Caenorhabditis elegans: one gene and its partners. The protein of the gene in region 2 interacts with the protein of the main gene of each other region in a pairwise test. Each region holds a gene or a part of one and is shown on either strand. Other genes may lie near its edges.

Region 1 (3,151 bases), 3.7 Mb from region 2:
GATGAGACAGTGAATTTTTCAGGAATAAGAATACAGTCGTATAGGATGTTGGTTTCCTTAATGAAAAAATTAATTCAAATTAATTTTTTATGTATTTACGCTCTCCAGGAGAGACAAAAGGAGAAAAGAAGAGAAGAATTAACGCTTTTCAGTAGAAATTTAGCCTCTTTACACTTGTTTTAGATTTTTGAAAAAAAATTCAGTCAAAGTTTTGGTTAATCATTTTCCAAAAAACATTTTTGGCAGGCTGCCAGTGTATGATAGATAAAAATTAAGGCGATGTTCTTTACTGCTATACGTAGCAGTTGAAATATATAGTTAGCACCGATTGGGGGACAATGTGAATGACCTCTTAGAATTGTTCCCACTGCAATACGTTTTATTGACTCTGTCGATCGAGTAGTGGGCCTATTGGTTATCTAGGTGCTCTTAAAAAACACCTGCAACAATAGGCAGATCAAAGTCGTTAGATATCGAAATGCACATGACGTTCTGCTTGTTTCGACATTTTCAGATACACAATAAAATACGGTTTAATTCATTTATTTATCTGGAAAGGGATTTCTAGAAAATTGAATTATTACAATGATGAGATGACATGAATGATCGATGGAGTTACAGGGAGATGGAAGAACTAGAAAACTACAAAAGGAAGTTGGTCTGACAGTCGATGAAGGGCGATGAGCAAGCTGTTGTGAACGTTCTTCAGAAATCACTTTTTCAGAACACTAGTTTCCTCTTCCTGAACTTGTCGTTGATCTCGAGCCATGAATCTGCCGATCATTTCATTCAACAATGCATTCGTCTGAAAGTTGACTTAATATTGAAAATGACAAGATCGCAAGAACTAACCTTCAGAAGATTTTCATTGTTTCTTGACAATCTTTGATATCCTTCACTAGTTGCTGTCATATGATCCAAAAGCTTTTGATTTTTAGATTCCAATCGTTTCATCGCCTGCTTTTGCTGTACACACTCTGTCATCAAATAATCTTTTTGAGATTCCATTGCTTTCATTTCTCGTGCACTTCGTCTAAGATCCCTCTTGCGGTTTTTCAATTCATCTTCAAGTCTTTCAATTTCCGAATGACATGCTTTTGTCTCTTCATTGTAGTCCAATTTATCCGAAACACTGTCTTCGATGATTTCCTTGAGCTCATCAATTTCTCTGGTAAATTTCAAAACCATTTGCTCCTTCTCGCTGTCCTTTTCATCAAAAAAAGCCAAAATCATCTTCTTTTCCTTGAACGATTCCTCGACCTGATTCTTCAAAAGCATGATCTCCAAAGTCAAGTCAAACTTTTCTTTTCCGAGCATTGACTCGAAAATGTTTCGTTGCTCCACGAGCTCATGCTTCAGAAATTCGTTTTCTGCTTTTAGTTGGGTCAGCTCCAAAGTGTTGGAGGAATTTTCGTAGACAGAGATTTTGGGATTCATCTGGAAACGAAACTTAATTTTGAAAAAAAACTATGTACGGTGAAGGACGAAATTCAAACAAAACAGGAGCAATTATCTTGGAGAATCGGGCCTTAGGCCTACCTTGGAGAAAAAACAGCTGTCCTTCTCAGACAATAATAAATATCTATAATTCCAGCGGGTTTCTAGGCGTTTCAACATTGTCTTACCGTACTCCCCTTTCCCAAAAGTCAGCTTTCTTTTGGGAAGTATTATCTTCCATTGTCTGCCTCCAGGTGCTAATTGTACTGTGTTATTTGTCTGAAATCGATGAGCTGACCTTGTATTGAGGAGCCATTTGAGCCAATTGGGCAATAGAAGGGCAATAGAAGAACCAATATCTTGTAAAAAAAAAGAGTATTGAGTGATAGTAAATTACTGGGATTAATACAATTTATAAAATGGAAAAACATCTGAAGGGGGAGTATCTCGAGCAAAATAAAAATTTAACTAATCAAAGGCATAAGTTATGTATTGTTTGTCCATAAATGACAATCAGTGACTTTTTTGGGGCTTCATGAACTTTTATATTTTGCTGGAAAATAAAAATTGAATCAGTTTTCAGTACGACATGGAACATCATCTTGAAAGAGACCTGTTGTGAAACAACGGGTAAGACCAAGTAGGCATTTTCGACAGTATGGAAGTCATACGATATTGTCCACAATCGAATACAATTGAAATAGGTAGATGTATATACTTTTTGATTAACTATGTGGTATCAAATTCAAGAGTTAGGTGAATTACATATAATATAAATATGAATAAATTTAAATAGTTGAATTTAAGACATGTCATAATGATATTCTCCTCGTGCCATCAGTTCTTATTTTAAACTATCATAAATTCTTTAATTTATACAGCTTCTGATAACAATTGAATAAAAAAATTGAATTTAGCAATTCAAAACGAATAACTTTGAATTCCATGCTACTGGTCTATCTCGATATACTCGAAGGTTTCAAACAGTTCATCCTCATTCTTCTCCATTTCACATAATTCAATCTTCTGATTTTTTATAGTTACGGATGCATTCGTTGTGATCTGAAATGAAACAATTGAATAGAGGAATTTGAAAATAAAAAATTTGCAACGAAGATGGAAGACGCCGTTGCTTACGATATCTCTTCCGTTCGACAAATTTCCAAAATTAGGCACTATAAAAGTTTCATGGCAAACTCCAGAATATCTATCGATAGAATTTCTATTTACAACAAAAACCAACTTACACTGTCAACCTCTTTCAATTTGATTTTATTTTTGCAAATGTCTGTCTTAACTTCTTGTAATTTATCCAAATTTTTCCCGATCTTTGCGATATTTTCATTGTTATATGTATCTTTTAAATTATTGTTTTCTTTGCGTAGAGCTTCATTTTCTTCTATAACCTTCTTGATTTCATTTCGATAAAATCTTGAAACTTTCATTTTTTCTTCAATACATTCATCACGATCTTTATGGATTACATCAAGAAGTCGTTGACTTTCCTCAGCTTCCGTTTCTTTTTCTTCCAACTGTGTCTTCAAAATTTCATTTTCAGTTTGAATTTTCTCAAAGTTGATTTGAAGATTCCGAATATATTGTTCAAGTTGTTCAATTTCACTTCTTAGCTCCTCAATGTGAAACATCTCTTCCTTAATATGATCCACGAGATTTTCGCAAGATTTACACTCGGAAGCCATGTCTGAAAAATGTT
Region 2 (7,592 bases):
AAATCTATGCCTTCTAATTCAAAATTAAGCAATTTCCTGATGTACATCTCGTACTCAAAAACGCACTAATTTATTCGAATGGGTCTCGCCTAGATAGAAAATGTTATGGTAGCACGTATTTGTTACTATTGTGATACAATTTTGAGCTTGTGTTTTTGAACATCAGTGCCTCAATTGGGGGAACATAACTTCGAGTCATCATACTGATAAATTCCTCTACCGACAAATATGATTAAGCCATTCGGAGATAAGAAGAATTAGAGACCCCCGGTAAAGAGGGAGATAAATTGAAGAATAAATGAAAATCGACCAAGGTCTCATTTCATCTCTTTTTTGTTTCCTACAACATCGTTAGTAATAGTCATCGTCTTTTTTTTATATTTAGCTATCTATCTACCTACTTAAAATCGATAACCTACTCATATTTACCAAGAGTTGGTGGAAAAAGTAAGTAATTTTATTGTTTACTTTTGAATTGAGGTGGGAGGAGGTTCTGTACTAATCTAGAGACACAGGACGTGCAGCCAATCATTTCAAATTTTGTTTTATTTTCACACCTTTATTGATTCCAACCTAGGAAATACCATAACGAGACAAGTGGTGGGTTTTAAATGGTGGGAGTGGTCACAACAACAATAGATATAATTAGATTTCCCATTAAAAATTAATTCTTGAAAAAAAAAATCGGAAAGAAAACATTCAAATGAAAACAAAGGGGAAGTAGCTCTAGCTAGAACTCAAAAGGCTCGGTGTTGAAAACTTGAAAGTTGTGTTTCGGAATTTGAGCAAAATTAAATGGAAATGTGTGGGGGGGCTGTCTAAAAAAGAAAACAAAATAACGGGTAATCTAAACATTTTTGAAATCAGTCACAGCGAAAAGTGTATTAACCCGATGGTAATTTTGAATAATTTGAATTATATTTTGAATATAACAGTTTTTAAAGACTTTTGAATGGGAAGAATCATTTGATAGGAGACATATGGGTATATATGGGAGGAGGGGTTAATAGATGTAGATAATTTTTAAATATAGAACGGGGGACAAATACTACCGGGGAAAAAGGGAATGAGGATAGAAAGATAACTAGGGTTTTATGTAGAGGACTGTTGTGGAGAGAAGGGGACACTCCAAAAAACGTTTCGAGGAAAAGAAAATAAATTTTGATAAACATGAGGCGAAATTTAAAATGGGAAAACGGATATGTTTTGTACAGTTCCTCTTCTCTACTTCACAACAAACATACAATTAATTAAGGGCAATAAGGAAAGAGGGAACAACAAAAATGGTATGATTGCAACAAAATATATTTCTAATAATCTAGATTAAATGACGAATGTCGATTAACAACTTTTCCATTACTTTCTCATGTTACGGCGTCGAGCCATTGCCATTTTTCGGGCGCCGACACCACTCGGAGCTCTGCAAATAATAACAATTAATACTTATGTACTTTTGAATTAATTGGTTAAAGTTGGAAGAGAAACTTACTGATAAGAAAAGGCGTTTTCCATTCCACCAGGTGCTGGAGCTTGTGGAACTGACATGTTACCACCAAACTGGAACGCTCCACCTCCTGGAGCAGCAGTCGGAGCTGGAGCTGAGGTGGCAGCATTTCCAAACTGGAAAACTCCTCCGCCTCCTGCAGTGGCGCCGGTTGTGCTGCTAGATGCACCAAAGTTGAAGCCATTATTGGACGTGCCACCGAACGGGCTGAAAATAATAATTGTTTTCTAGTAACCAAAAAATGTTGAAGCTTACTTAGAGGAATCAGCAGGTGCTTGACCGAACAACGAGTTCGTAGATGAGCTAGAAGACAATCCTGGTTGTGATGGCTTGTTTCCAAATGCACCAAACACTCCAGAGGTTGATGTTGTCCCGGCGTTTCCGAATGGGGTCGCTGTAGAGCTAGGAAAACCTGAAGTGCTTGAAGAGTTTGATGTCGAAAATGCGGGAATGCTTGAGGATGAAGGCCCTCCGAACATTGGTGGATTTGTAGAAGCACCGCCAAAGAGTGATCCACTTGTGGTTGAGGCAGTAGAGGCAGGGTTTCCAAAACCAGTAAACTTTGGCATCTCAACTTTTTGCTGGCCGCCGAACTGAAGCTTCTGTGAGTCGGATGAGAACAATCCACGCTTTGCTGGTGCCCCGTCAGTAGTGGTTGTTCCTGAATCGTCTCCAAATGAAATCGGCTTTCCGAAAATCGAAGAAGTTGTCGAATCAGCAGGCTTTGTTGTAAACAGATTAGTTGCTGTGGACGAGGATCCTGCACCGAAAAGGCTGGTTGATGCTGATGCCGAGTTGCTTCCGAAGACATTAGTTTTTACAGCTTCTGCGGTAGCTGTGGACACTGGTGCTGCAGCAGTCGTTGGATTTCCGAACGAAAGCGTAGAAGAAATCTTTGGAAGTTCCGTTTTGGAATTGCCGAACATTGATGATCCACCGAATGATCCAGTAGATGAGTTTCCAAACAATGACATGGTTGGAGCAATTGTTGGAATAGCGGATTTTGATTGAGTCGAATCTGTAGATGATGGAAGAGCAACAGAGACAGGAGTTGTTGTGACATGTGTTTCCTTATCTAAGATCGATCCGAATAGGCCTGGCTTCGCAGTCTCTGTCGTGTTGGTTTTGTTTAAATTGAAGATAGATCCAGTTGAACCACCAAACAATGATGATCCCGCCGTTGGCGCCAAAGAACTTGTAGACGATGCAGCACCTGGAGCCAAGAAACTTGTGGTAGCTGAATCGGCAGGTTTGGCGATATTTCCGAAAAGAGATCCAGCTGTTTTGGGAACTTCTGGTGCAGATGGTTTCTCGACTGGGGCTGATGAAACAGCTGGTTTCGCCGAAAGCCCAAAGGCTGGAGTAGAAGTTGGCGCAACTTCTGTTGTCTTTGACAGTCCAAATGCAAATGCGCTTGGTTGGGTGGTTGCTGTACTTCCACCAACTCCGAATGAAATAGTAGACCCTGTGGAAGAAAGTGGTTTGAAGGCCCGATTACCAAAAACATTCGAAGATGCTTCAGCAGATGCATATTTGACATGTGAGCAACATGGGCATTTATCATCACTGGCCTTATTGCTAACCATACAATCAGGGCACTCCCAATCAACACGTGTACCATTGGAGGATGAAGTTACAGCAGCAACAGGAGCAGATGCGATAGTAGTAGGGGCTACTGGAATTGTGGCAGGAACAGTTGTTGGTGGTGGAGCAGTTGTCTTGGGGGCTCCAAAAAGTGGTGCCACTGAAGAACCGCTTCCGAATGGAATTGTGTTTGAAGTTGTCGATGCAATAGTTGTTGTCGTTGAAGCACCTGATCCAAATCCGAACTTGACAGTACTTGGTGTATTCGATGCGAAACTACTGAGATTTGATACAAGCTGCTTTTCGGAAGGTTTTGGTTGACTTTTTGGACCAGTACCAGATCCTCCTGGACGTGCTTCCCCACATGCCCCACATTCCGATAGCTGAAAACAAATTATTTGTCAATTTCTTAGTTTCTTTTCCGATGAATTTTTATACTTGACAATTTTCTGAAAATGTGAGACTATGCTCTAAAGACACATGATGTACTTTTCAGCGAGACTCGTGACGACTTCAATTATTTTAGTTGAAAAAATGGAACATTTCGCGCACGCTTTCCTAAACCCACGAAAACTGTAGACTAAATTTTGTTATTAATTTTAAGTAAAACATAGTAGACCCAGTTTAGAGTTTTCTCGTATCAACATCAAAATTTCTTACCGTAGAATCCCAACTACAGAAACACGATTGACATTCCCATTTTTTAGAACCAGCATCGACCACTGGAGCTGGAGCAACCACAACTGGTTCTGCATCTTTGGCAACTTTTGGAGACGAATCCTTTGAACTCTGATTGGATCCTCCGGCAGATGAGATAGTGTCAGCGGAAGTTTGTGGTCGCGACTCTTTCACTTCACTACCATTCTCCTCACCGACGTCTACTTCTGAGTCTTCTGATTCTTCGGAATCTGATTCGTTTCCACTGCTTTCAGATGTTTGCTTTTCTGTCGATTCTGCATTGCTCTCACTGCTGGACTCGGATGCTTTATGTGAGCTTGCCGTACTTGCGGTTTTTGCAGTTCCAACAGCAGTAACTAAATCAACTGGAGCTGTGAATGAGAACGCGAGATCGTCCAAAAACCCGCGCTTGGGTGCATATTCTGGCGCCAATTTCAGAGGTTGTGGATTCTGCAGAGTTGTTGTTGGAATTGGTGGAAGTTTCTGTGAATCCTCATCAACTTCTTCAATGTCATCAGAGAGTTTGAACGTATTTCTACTAACTGGTTTCCCATCAGGTCCCTTCATAATTGAGGCATGTTGTTTTCGACTATTTGACGAGTTTATGGTGGTCGTGGATGCAGTTGATGCTGTCTTCTTTGGAGCTGGTAAGTCCAGTGAAAACAAGGAGCTCAGCTGAAATTTAAAAAAGTTAAGATAAAGTCGAATAATTTAATTATCATAATTTTAAGTTTGTTATAATTTCTGAAAATTTCCCAATGAAACGTTTAAAAATAAATACTAGACTGTGATAATCTCGTGTCTAATTTTAGAAAATTTGACCAGAAAAACTTTTTCATAATTCTTGTATCATTTTTTTTCAAGTGTTTAAAATCCAGGTTACCTCTGCAGTCGCAAAGTTTCCGTTCAATGATTTCATTGAATCAGAAGATCCAGTGTCTCCATTTTTCGACGATGTTCTTTTCCTAGTTAAATCCGTCCAATAAGGAGCACGTCGAGCGGACATTCCCATAGTCTTTGATATGAGCTGTATACGAGATGGAATTGCGTCTCCAGCTTTTTTCAATGGAGGTGGTGGTGTGCCAGTTGCTGAACCATTTGGAACCTTGCTCTCGCTAAACGATCCCCATTTTTCTGGTCGAGCAATGCCAGCTCGAAGCATTGACATTCTCTGAACTTCTTTCGCGGGTGTATTTGCACCTTCAAGCTTTTTGAAAATTTCTTGAGTTCTTGTACTTAATGACCCGTTGGTAGTTGCTCCACTTCGTCGGCTCAAAAGTGAGAAATTTGTGATAGATGAAGCAGGAGAATGATTAGCAGTTAACTCTCCACACCAAGTCATATCCATTTTCCTCTCATTATTCATTGAACTATTAAGAGTTGGTTCCAGTAATGATCTGTTCAGGAATCGACTTCGTTTCACACTCTCACTTCGAAACGATTGTGGTAGAATCTGCTTGTCGAGCTCTGTCAGTTGACGTTTGCGATTCTGGAAAAAAATATTTCGATAGCATTTATCAACAGGTTTAATCTAATTTTTCTGTGAAAACACATTAATAAAAAGACAACTTTAAAAATTTACCGTGGAAACCGCAGGAGTGCTGAAGAAAATATCTGGAACAGCGTCCACATCGATCTCTAAGCCATTGGATGCACTCGTACGCCGATCCAATGCAGTCGGACTGAGGTATCGAAGACGTGATCCGATGCGATGGTTTTGTGAGGTATTCACTGAAGTTTCATCTGGAATTTAAAAAATAATGAGTTGAAATTCTAGTGCCATGTACTGATATGAAAGTCAATGTGATTAAACTTACCTGAAGCTATTTTAGCTTCATTATCTACGGATAATATATTTTTCAATGCTGGAGACGCAGAAGGAGACGATTTTGAAGACGAATTGGATGTACCTTCATCATTCGACTTATCGCCGTCTTTGCTTTTAGTGGCACTAGCTCCAACAGAAAAGAAGCGGCCAACCGATGAGAAAAACCCTCCGGATTTATCGGACATTTCTGAAATAGAAAAAAGTTGTTTCGTAATTGAGACTAAAGCTGAGAGAGACTGAAGAAATTTTTCTGCGCCGTGTCAGAAATTCTCGATAAAATAAAATTCTTCAAAAACGACACTTTTCGAAATACTTTTGAAACGCCTAAATGAACTACTGGAAGTACCAAAAGAACATGACAAATGCACCTAATATGTTTTGGTAAAAATTCCGAATTATTGATCGATAACACAGGTCAAAACTACAGAAATCATTCAAAATCGTAAATGTTTAAATTTAGGCCGCGCCAGTAAACGCAGCATTAAGCATTAAACTTGATATATTTTTAAGGCAAAAAACCTTTTACCAACATTGAATTTTCGAAGGAAAGAAGTGTAAATTACATTAAAAATCAATAAAGGAATTTAAAATCGCAAATGGCGCGAAGACGATTAAAAAGAAATTTTCGAGTGCGCACACGCGACGCATACGCGACGCTTTCAACGACATTTGAGAGGTTAGAGTGCAGACAGTTATCCTTCCATTAACAACATGAAGAGGGTGCAGAGAAACGAGAGAGTGTCCATTCCACAAGGCCACACCCCTTCAGCTGGACACTTCTGGAGCTCTTTTGACGACGTTCGACCCTGTTTTTGACTCTTTTTCCGTTAAATATATTTATTTTCTATTCAAAATTATTTTTAACGACCTCTTTTCCATCTTTTTTTCTGTGTTCAAAAAATGTGTTCAAAAAATCCAAAGGTAAATAAAAACATTATTTATTTCAGACCCTCTGCATCACCAATAGAATGCGATAATTCGACAGAAGTTATTTAATTCATTCAGTAGAAATGATTTTGCGACATTTCGGTGAGTTCCATCTTTTTATCTTATCAATTTTAATAATTTCTCCGTGGAAAAGTTTTAAATATTGTTGTTATCACTTTTGTGTTGATACAAATAAAATTAAAATCCTATAATTTCGTAGTAAACGAAGTATCTAAACCCGAACCTCTGAAAGAAAACAAAAGGAAATTAAATAAAACTTCATTACTATTTATAATTTTCAGGTTTCATTCTTATAATTCTGACAGTTTATCTGTCATCTACTCATGCCACAACACGGAAACATCATCGTCGATCGATTGATAATGGTGAGAGTTTTTCACATTTGAATTCAAAAATATATTAAAATGGGGGAAGGAAGATGACCATCTGGCATTCTGTCAAGGTGTCAGTCACCGGCAACATAATTTATCGATTCAAGAATGGAATTTTGAAAATAGAAAAATATAAATAAAAATCATCTTAAAGTCAATACTTGGCACTGAACTACCTTGTGGCTATTTTTAAAAAAAATTGACTCCATAAAAATAATACAAATCCAAGAAAAGTTACGTTTTTTTTAATACTCTTACCTATAAAACACTTAGTTTATCGTCGAATTAATGGTTTTACTTTGAAAAAACCTTCTTTCAAAATTATTCTCAATTTTCGAGTTCCGATCTAGCAGAGTTGTTCAGCAATCTTTTAGTTCCTTCACACCTTAAAGATGGAGCAGCGATTTTTTTGTCCCCAGAAGAGAGACATCTTGAACGTTTTCTAAATTATGGCGGTTTAGGGAAAAATTAAAATTTTAGTTAATTTTGACTCCGCTTTTGAGAAGCCTCATTCCGTCACTCGGGGCCTTATTTCACTACCCCACGGTGGGTACCACCTTTAAAGAAAACTTGACGCCAAATTGTAGCATTTTTCACTACAAACCAAAAGTGGATAGCTCAATTCCCCAGATTCTCTAGGCGTTTGATGTTCGAAAGATTGTAATCTCTACACAAAATC
Region 3 (5,404 bases), on a different chromosome or scaffold from region 2:
GCCTTGAGTTTGTGAAAATTCAAACGGAAATCGGTGCAGACGGCTCAGAAATTCCAACGCGAACTCCAGAATTTTCGGATGTGTTCCGACTTTATTTGAGCATGAAAGTGGTGGGACCTAAACTTCCGATCGACGAATCTGATAGCAATCGACTACGTTTTCAGTGCGGCAACAATCTAGCAGAATGGGCCGATCTGGAGAAACCAAGATCGATGGGTATTGATGAACAGCGACTTGTACAATTTGGAATGCATCATCAGTTTCTTCGTAAACTTTCTAAATATCCTATTTGTGTTGCAAACCCAGGCAACAACACGTAAGTTAATCAATTAATACTATCTAATAATATACAATTTTAAGTCTCCTGAAACGGTGTAATGGAAAAACTTCAATTGACGAACTTTCTCTTCAACATAATGTGGACCCCGAACAACTTTGCTCACTGTTGGAAGAAACCGGAAAATTTGAGTTTGTCATGAAATAAATGAAAATCGTGTATTATTGTTTCGTTTTACAACAACTTTTAACAAATAAATTTGATTTATTTATTATGAGAGCACACACCAGGTAAAGGGAATATTGGCCAGTCAGTCGAGACAATCGAGAATAGCAAAACGGGAGAAAGGAAAATGGGATGAGGAAGATGAGAGGGAAAATGAGAAAAGAAGATGGATGATGAGAAGAGGGACGGCTCGATATACCTTTAAAAAGGCCTTACGGGATGGGTGGGGTTTCAAGAAAAAGAATACTGGAGTCCACGAGAACTAAGAGGAGCAGGGTGATTGGAATTTTTGGCCTATCAACGAGATTCTCCGAGAACTAATGAAATCGAGAATGATGATGGATGACTAGGAAATGAGCAAACTAGGGGGATCAGAAGTTCTAAGAAATTGAAATTATGTATATGATAAAGAATTAATAAAAGTAACATGTGAAGAAAATGAAAATACTCGCTTTTAGAGAGAAAATCTGGGGACCGTGGGGATTGGAGGGACTGGGAAAAATGATGAGAGATTTGAAAACGACGCGGTAACAATGATAAAAGGATGAGGGTGGGGGACGCGGGCAATGAACGGGCGCGAATGGGAAACAAAAATGAAAACAAAACTCAACAAAAATGCACAACTCACACACTCACTTTAAAAAGAAATCGAAATATATTATCATAAAACAGTCACTCTCGCACACACGAAGAAGAGGGCGGGGACATTGTAACTAATTAATCACAATGGAAAAAAGATGGTGGATGAAAAAGTGAAATGTTAATCAAATCACTGATGGTACAGAAACAACGAAGAGATAAAGAAAGGATGAGATAATTGACAATCGATTGTAGAAGAACGTGCAAACTCAATTGGTCAAAAAGTGCAAAATCTCACATGAAAGAGAGCTTGCATTTCCGAGAAGCTGGCTTAGGAACTCGCGTGTCAGATGAAAATACACGAGAACCTAACAAAAAGTGAGGTGTGAAAAATAGTAAGACGAAAACTACATGAACATTTGTATGGGAACGGCATGCGAAATTGTTTACGAGAAATAAGACAAAACGTATTTTGTGATTAAAGGAATCATGGAGATCTACTTTCCAAAGTTCCATCCTCCGTTTGGAGCATCAGGAACTGGTGGAACGTCGCCTCCAAAAGCAGAACTTTGAGCTCCTTCCACGTTGCCAGTCTCATCATCGGAACTGAAAATATAAAAACGTATACACCAAACATTCGCACACGGACTCTGAAGATTTTTATCAAATATAATTGGACTCCTACCTGAAGAAGTTATCGATAATTTCGAAAGCCAGTTTGTAAATGTCCTCGTTTTCATGATTTTGAAGATTTTCTATCTTGTCAAGACCTCCGCACTCTTCAATCTCTGATGTCACCTGTTCGGCAGCTTCTCCAGCCATTTTCAGAATGTTGTTAATTCCATCAAGCACTACTTGGATAATCTGCGAATCAGTGCAACTGAGCATCGCACAGAAAGGACGAAGGACACCAAGCTTTACCATTTGCTCAACTTGATTTGGACGGCCAGAGATTGTAACGTTGGAAATAGCCCACGCTGCCTCTTTTTGAGTTGGGAAATCTCCTCGATCAAGAAGATGAATAATCATTGGCATGATTCCGGCGTCGAATACGTCTTGAACTTGTTGTTGGTTTCCAGCAGTTATGTTGGAGACAAACCAAACAGCCTCTTTGTTTATTTTCTCTTTGTAGTGGGCGAGAAGTCCTGGCATAAACCGAAGAACCTGAAATTTAAGATTTGGAAAAGTCATAAATGAAAATTTTTACTCCGCTATCCAACACAAGTTGTGTTTGTTCGTCGGTTCCAGTCACAATATTTCCTACAGCTCGAAGTGCTGCTGTTTGAACTTTAACATCAACGTGTCCAAGGAGTGGAACGAGATGGGTAACAACTTGAGCTTCGATAACCATTTGAATGTGTTCATTTCCACCGTCGGTGAGGTAAGAAAGGGCCCAAACGGTGTCTATGAGGATGTTGGTGTCTTGGTGATGGATCAAAAGTGAGAGGGCGGGAAGAATCGTACGAACCACAGCTGGGCTTGGTGCCGGATCTTTGCACCTGCAGAGATTGACAATAACCCATGTGACATTTCTCAAGAAGCCAATAGGTATCTCCGGGTTAATGAACTGCAATAGTGGCTGGAGAATTCCGAGTTCGAGACAATAATCACGGAAATGTGGTCCATCTCCAATGATGTTACCAAGAGCCCAGACAGATTGCTCGCAAACGTTCAGATTTCCACATGACAGGAGTTGCAGGAAGAGAGGAACGGCTCCGGCATTCACGACGGCTTGTGTTTGCTCTGATGTACCAGATGCTATGTTGGTAAGGGCCCATGCAGCTTCAAATTGCAAGTTTGGACTGAAAATTTACAGTAATTTGATGCGACCTTATGAAAATTCTTACTCCGTGCTGGACAAGCATTGAACGAGGACAGGCAAAATCCCACTGCCAATCAAGTCATCAATTGGTGGATTTCTATCAGTTGATAGCATTTTACGGGCTTGTTGAACAGCAGTCAGCTGCTCAGCGGGATCGCTCGATTGGGCAGCAGCGACTGTCAACCGGAGGAGGTTGGCATCAAATGGACCTGGTGGGGTTGTTGAAGTCTCAGAATCATCTCTGAAAATTAAAACAATTCAAAAACTGGAACAGATAATTTACTGTGATAAGCGTATGAAACACTTTTGTTAGCTCTCATAGCTGAAGCATATAAAATCAGATGAAAAACTCACTCAATTTGGGTATTGATATTACGCCGTTTGGAAATTGCCTCCTCTCGTTTATCCTTTCTGATCGAAACCACCTTAAAATTGAATAATGTATGCGTTAACAAGTTTATCGAACTTACTTCTTCGTTCCTTTTTTCCTTGCCAATTTGCTCTTTGGCATTGTTCTTATAATAAGCCTGTCTGTTTGAACTCATTCTGCTGAAAGAAAAAAACTTGATAAATGAATAGTAGCGCAAGTAAAAAGCAACAAAAAACGTTTAAAAACTGCGGAACTTTCTATCAGAGATTTCGCAACACAAAAAGTATCTAAGATTACAGCTTAATTATTTAAAATAAGAAAAGAGCGATATTGAGAAACTTTAACAGAAATTTTTAAATAAAATCCAATGAATTACATGTAAGATGGAAAGATTTCAGTAGGATTGGGGAAAAATTATAGTCGATAACGAGACAAAATATGTCGCAGAAGCGTCGCGGTTGACACGCAACGCACACAATAGAGCGTATTGGCAGATAAGAGGTCTCACTCGTAGATTTTAAAACTAGGGAAAAGAAGCTCCGGAGTTTTTGGATGGATCTTCTTTAAAAAAAGGAAAACGTGTAAATGTTAAAGATATTAAGAACAAAAAACAATGTCTGATTAAAATGTCAAACTTCGCTTCAAATGGTTTCAAAATATGGCAATTTTAAATACATTTGGGTACCAAGCTCTTTTAACAAAAAATTTTAAATAATAAATTTATTTACTCAACATTCTTTACAATATTAATAACAGCGGATTTTATAAAAATTATAAAGCAATAAATTTTGTGATTGCATCCTACTCGTCGCCGCTCTCATCCTGCACCACCTGAAAAATAATGATATTTATGGTTACATTTGCATTTGCATTTGCATCAAATGCATTTGATATAATACTTTTGAACAAAAAACCAGGAGTATTTTCTAGTCCGAAAAACTTACATTAGCCGTCTTTTCCCGCAATTTCTTGTTGTGTTCCTGGATCCAGGAGAACACCTGATCTGCTTCGGTCAGTGTCGATCCTGTTACAGTTTTCGCAAAGATCTATTGAAAAACTTAAGAAAAGATACACTCCCCAACGCTGCTGGCATGCCGTGTTCACAGAAAAGTTTGGAACTTTTGAAACTTTTCAGACTAATCAGTAGGTTGACCCAGTTGACCCATTGGTCTATGTTCTCTTCGCCGGCCCATGGAAGATTGTCCTTTGCAACTTGAATTGCAGCCTGAAATGGTTCAATTTGAATCACTATTGCGAAGAATATAGTTATAATATAATTCGTTTAACATTTTTCAGTGTTTTACAGGCTTACCTTTAAACCAAACTTGGAATCGTAGGTCTCCATGTAGTTGATAAATTTTATCAACTCATCTCCGCTGACGTCAGTATTTTTGGTGATAAAATCACGGGTAAGCTTTTCAGCCTCAGCACCGCGATTTGCGTTCTCTTCTACAATGACTCGTCCGGTTATTATAGCTCTGAAAGTAAGTCAGTTTCAAAAAAATTGATTAAAAAATGTTGTCTTACTGGCAGTTCGGAAATTTTGCTGCAGCTGATTCAAAAATTTTTCGGGAGCTTTTCAGATTCCCTCTACTCTTAATTTCAGCCATGATTGCGACCTTGCATTTGATTTTGTCCGATTCCAATCCCATCACAAGCAAGGATGTCAATTCCCGTGTTCCGTTTGTCCCGTTGTCCCGTTTTTGGGGTGTTTTCACGGGAACGGGAATTCCCGTTGTCCCGTTTTTAAAATTTTCACGGGAACGGGAATTCCCGCTGTCCCGTTTTTGTCATTTTCACGGGAACGGGATGTCCCGTTGTCCCGTTTTTTGGGTGTTTTCGCGGAAACGGGAATTCCCGTTGTCCCGTTTTAAAAATTTTCACGGGAACGGGAATTCCCGTTGTCCCGTTTTTGTAATTTTTAGGGGACACTGACACCTTTGATCACAAGCAACTTTACTCGGGAAGCGATGGATCCTTCCAGTCTAGATGCATTGATGACTAGCTCTTCACTTGGTGCATGGGCTAAGCCTCCATGTAAAGCTGTGGTCTCGAGGCCCCACCAAAACAGAATGCAGTTCAAAACAGGATTTACCAAAAAATGATGCAGTGGGCGGAGCCAATTGACAAC

What was found. The genes of interacting proteins can lie anywhere in the genome.
Region 1: the proteins of npp-7 (region 2) and C17E4.2 interact in a two-hybrid assay, tested with the Caenorhabditis elegans proteins (one large-scale study listed by BioGRID).
Region 3: the proteins of npp-7 (region 2) and ima-3 interact in a two-hybrid assay, tested with the Caenorhabditis elegans proteins (one large-scale study listed by BioGRID).

What each region holds. Positions count from the first base shown.
Region 1 is NC_003279.8:9,410,600-9,413,750, reverse strand, and holds C17E4.2 (Cilia- and flagella-associated protein 157), read right to left. Parts: upstream 1,446-3,151; 5' UTR 1,438-1,445; coding exon 853-1,437; intron 806-852; coding exon 713-805; 3' UTR 529-712; downstream 1-528. Other genes in the region: C17E4.19 (uncharacterized protein), read right to left, coding at 2,386-2,499, 2,685-3,137.
Region 2 is NC_003279.8:5,690,453-5,698,044, reverse strand, and holds npp-7 (RanBP2-type domain-containing protein), read right to left. Parts: upstream 5,782-7,592; 5' UTR 5,780-5,781; coding exon 5,584-5,779; intron 5,510-5,583; coding exon 5,349-5,509; intron 5,256-5,348; coding exon 4,650-5,255; intron 4,442-4,649; coding exon 3,749-4,441; intron 3,472-3,748; coding exon 1,760-3,471; intron 1,712-1,759; coding exon 1,490-1,711; intron 1,421-1,489; coding exon 1,357-1,420; 3' UTR 539-1,356; downstream 1-538. Other genes in the region: Netrin receptor unc-40, read left to right, coding at 6,605-6,623, 6,824-6,907.
Region 3 is NC_003282.8:7,558,213-7,563,616, forward strand, and holds ima-3 (Importin subunit alpha-3), read right to left. Parts: upstream 3,453-5,404; 5' UTR 3,449-3,452; coding exon 3,374-3,448; intron 3,329-3,373; coding exon 3,258-3,328; intron 3,145-3,257; coding exon 2,929-3,144; intron 2,884-2,928; coding exon 2,289-2,883; intron 2,246-2,288; coding exon 1,767-2,245; intron 1,688-1,766; coding exon 1,579-1,687; 3' UTR 529-1,578; downstream 1-528. Other genes in the region: nprl-2 (Nitrogen permease regulator 2), read left to right, coding at 1-316, 361-484; F32E10.9 (TPR_REGION domain-containing protein), read right to left, coding at 4,301-4,498, 4,586-4,751, 4,801-4,925. UniProt on the Caenorhabditis elegans protein: Binds specifically and directly to substrates containing either a simple or bipartite NLS motif. Promotes docking of import substrates to the nuclear envelope. Seems to act as a cytosolic receptor for both simple and bipartite NLS motifs.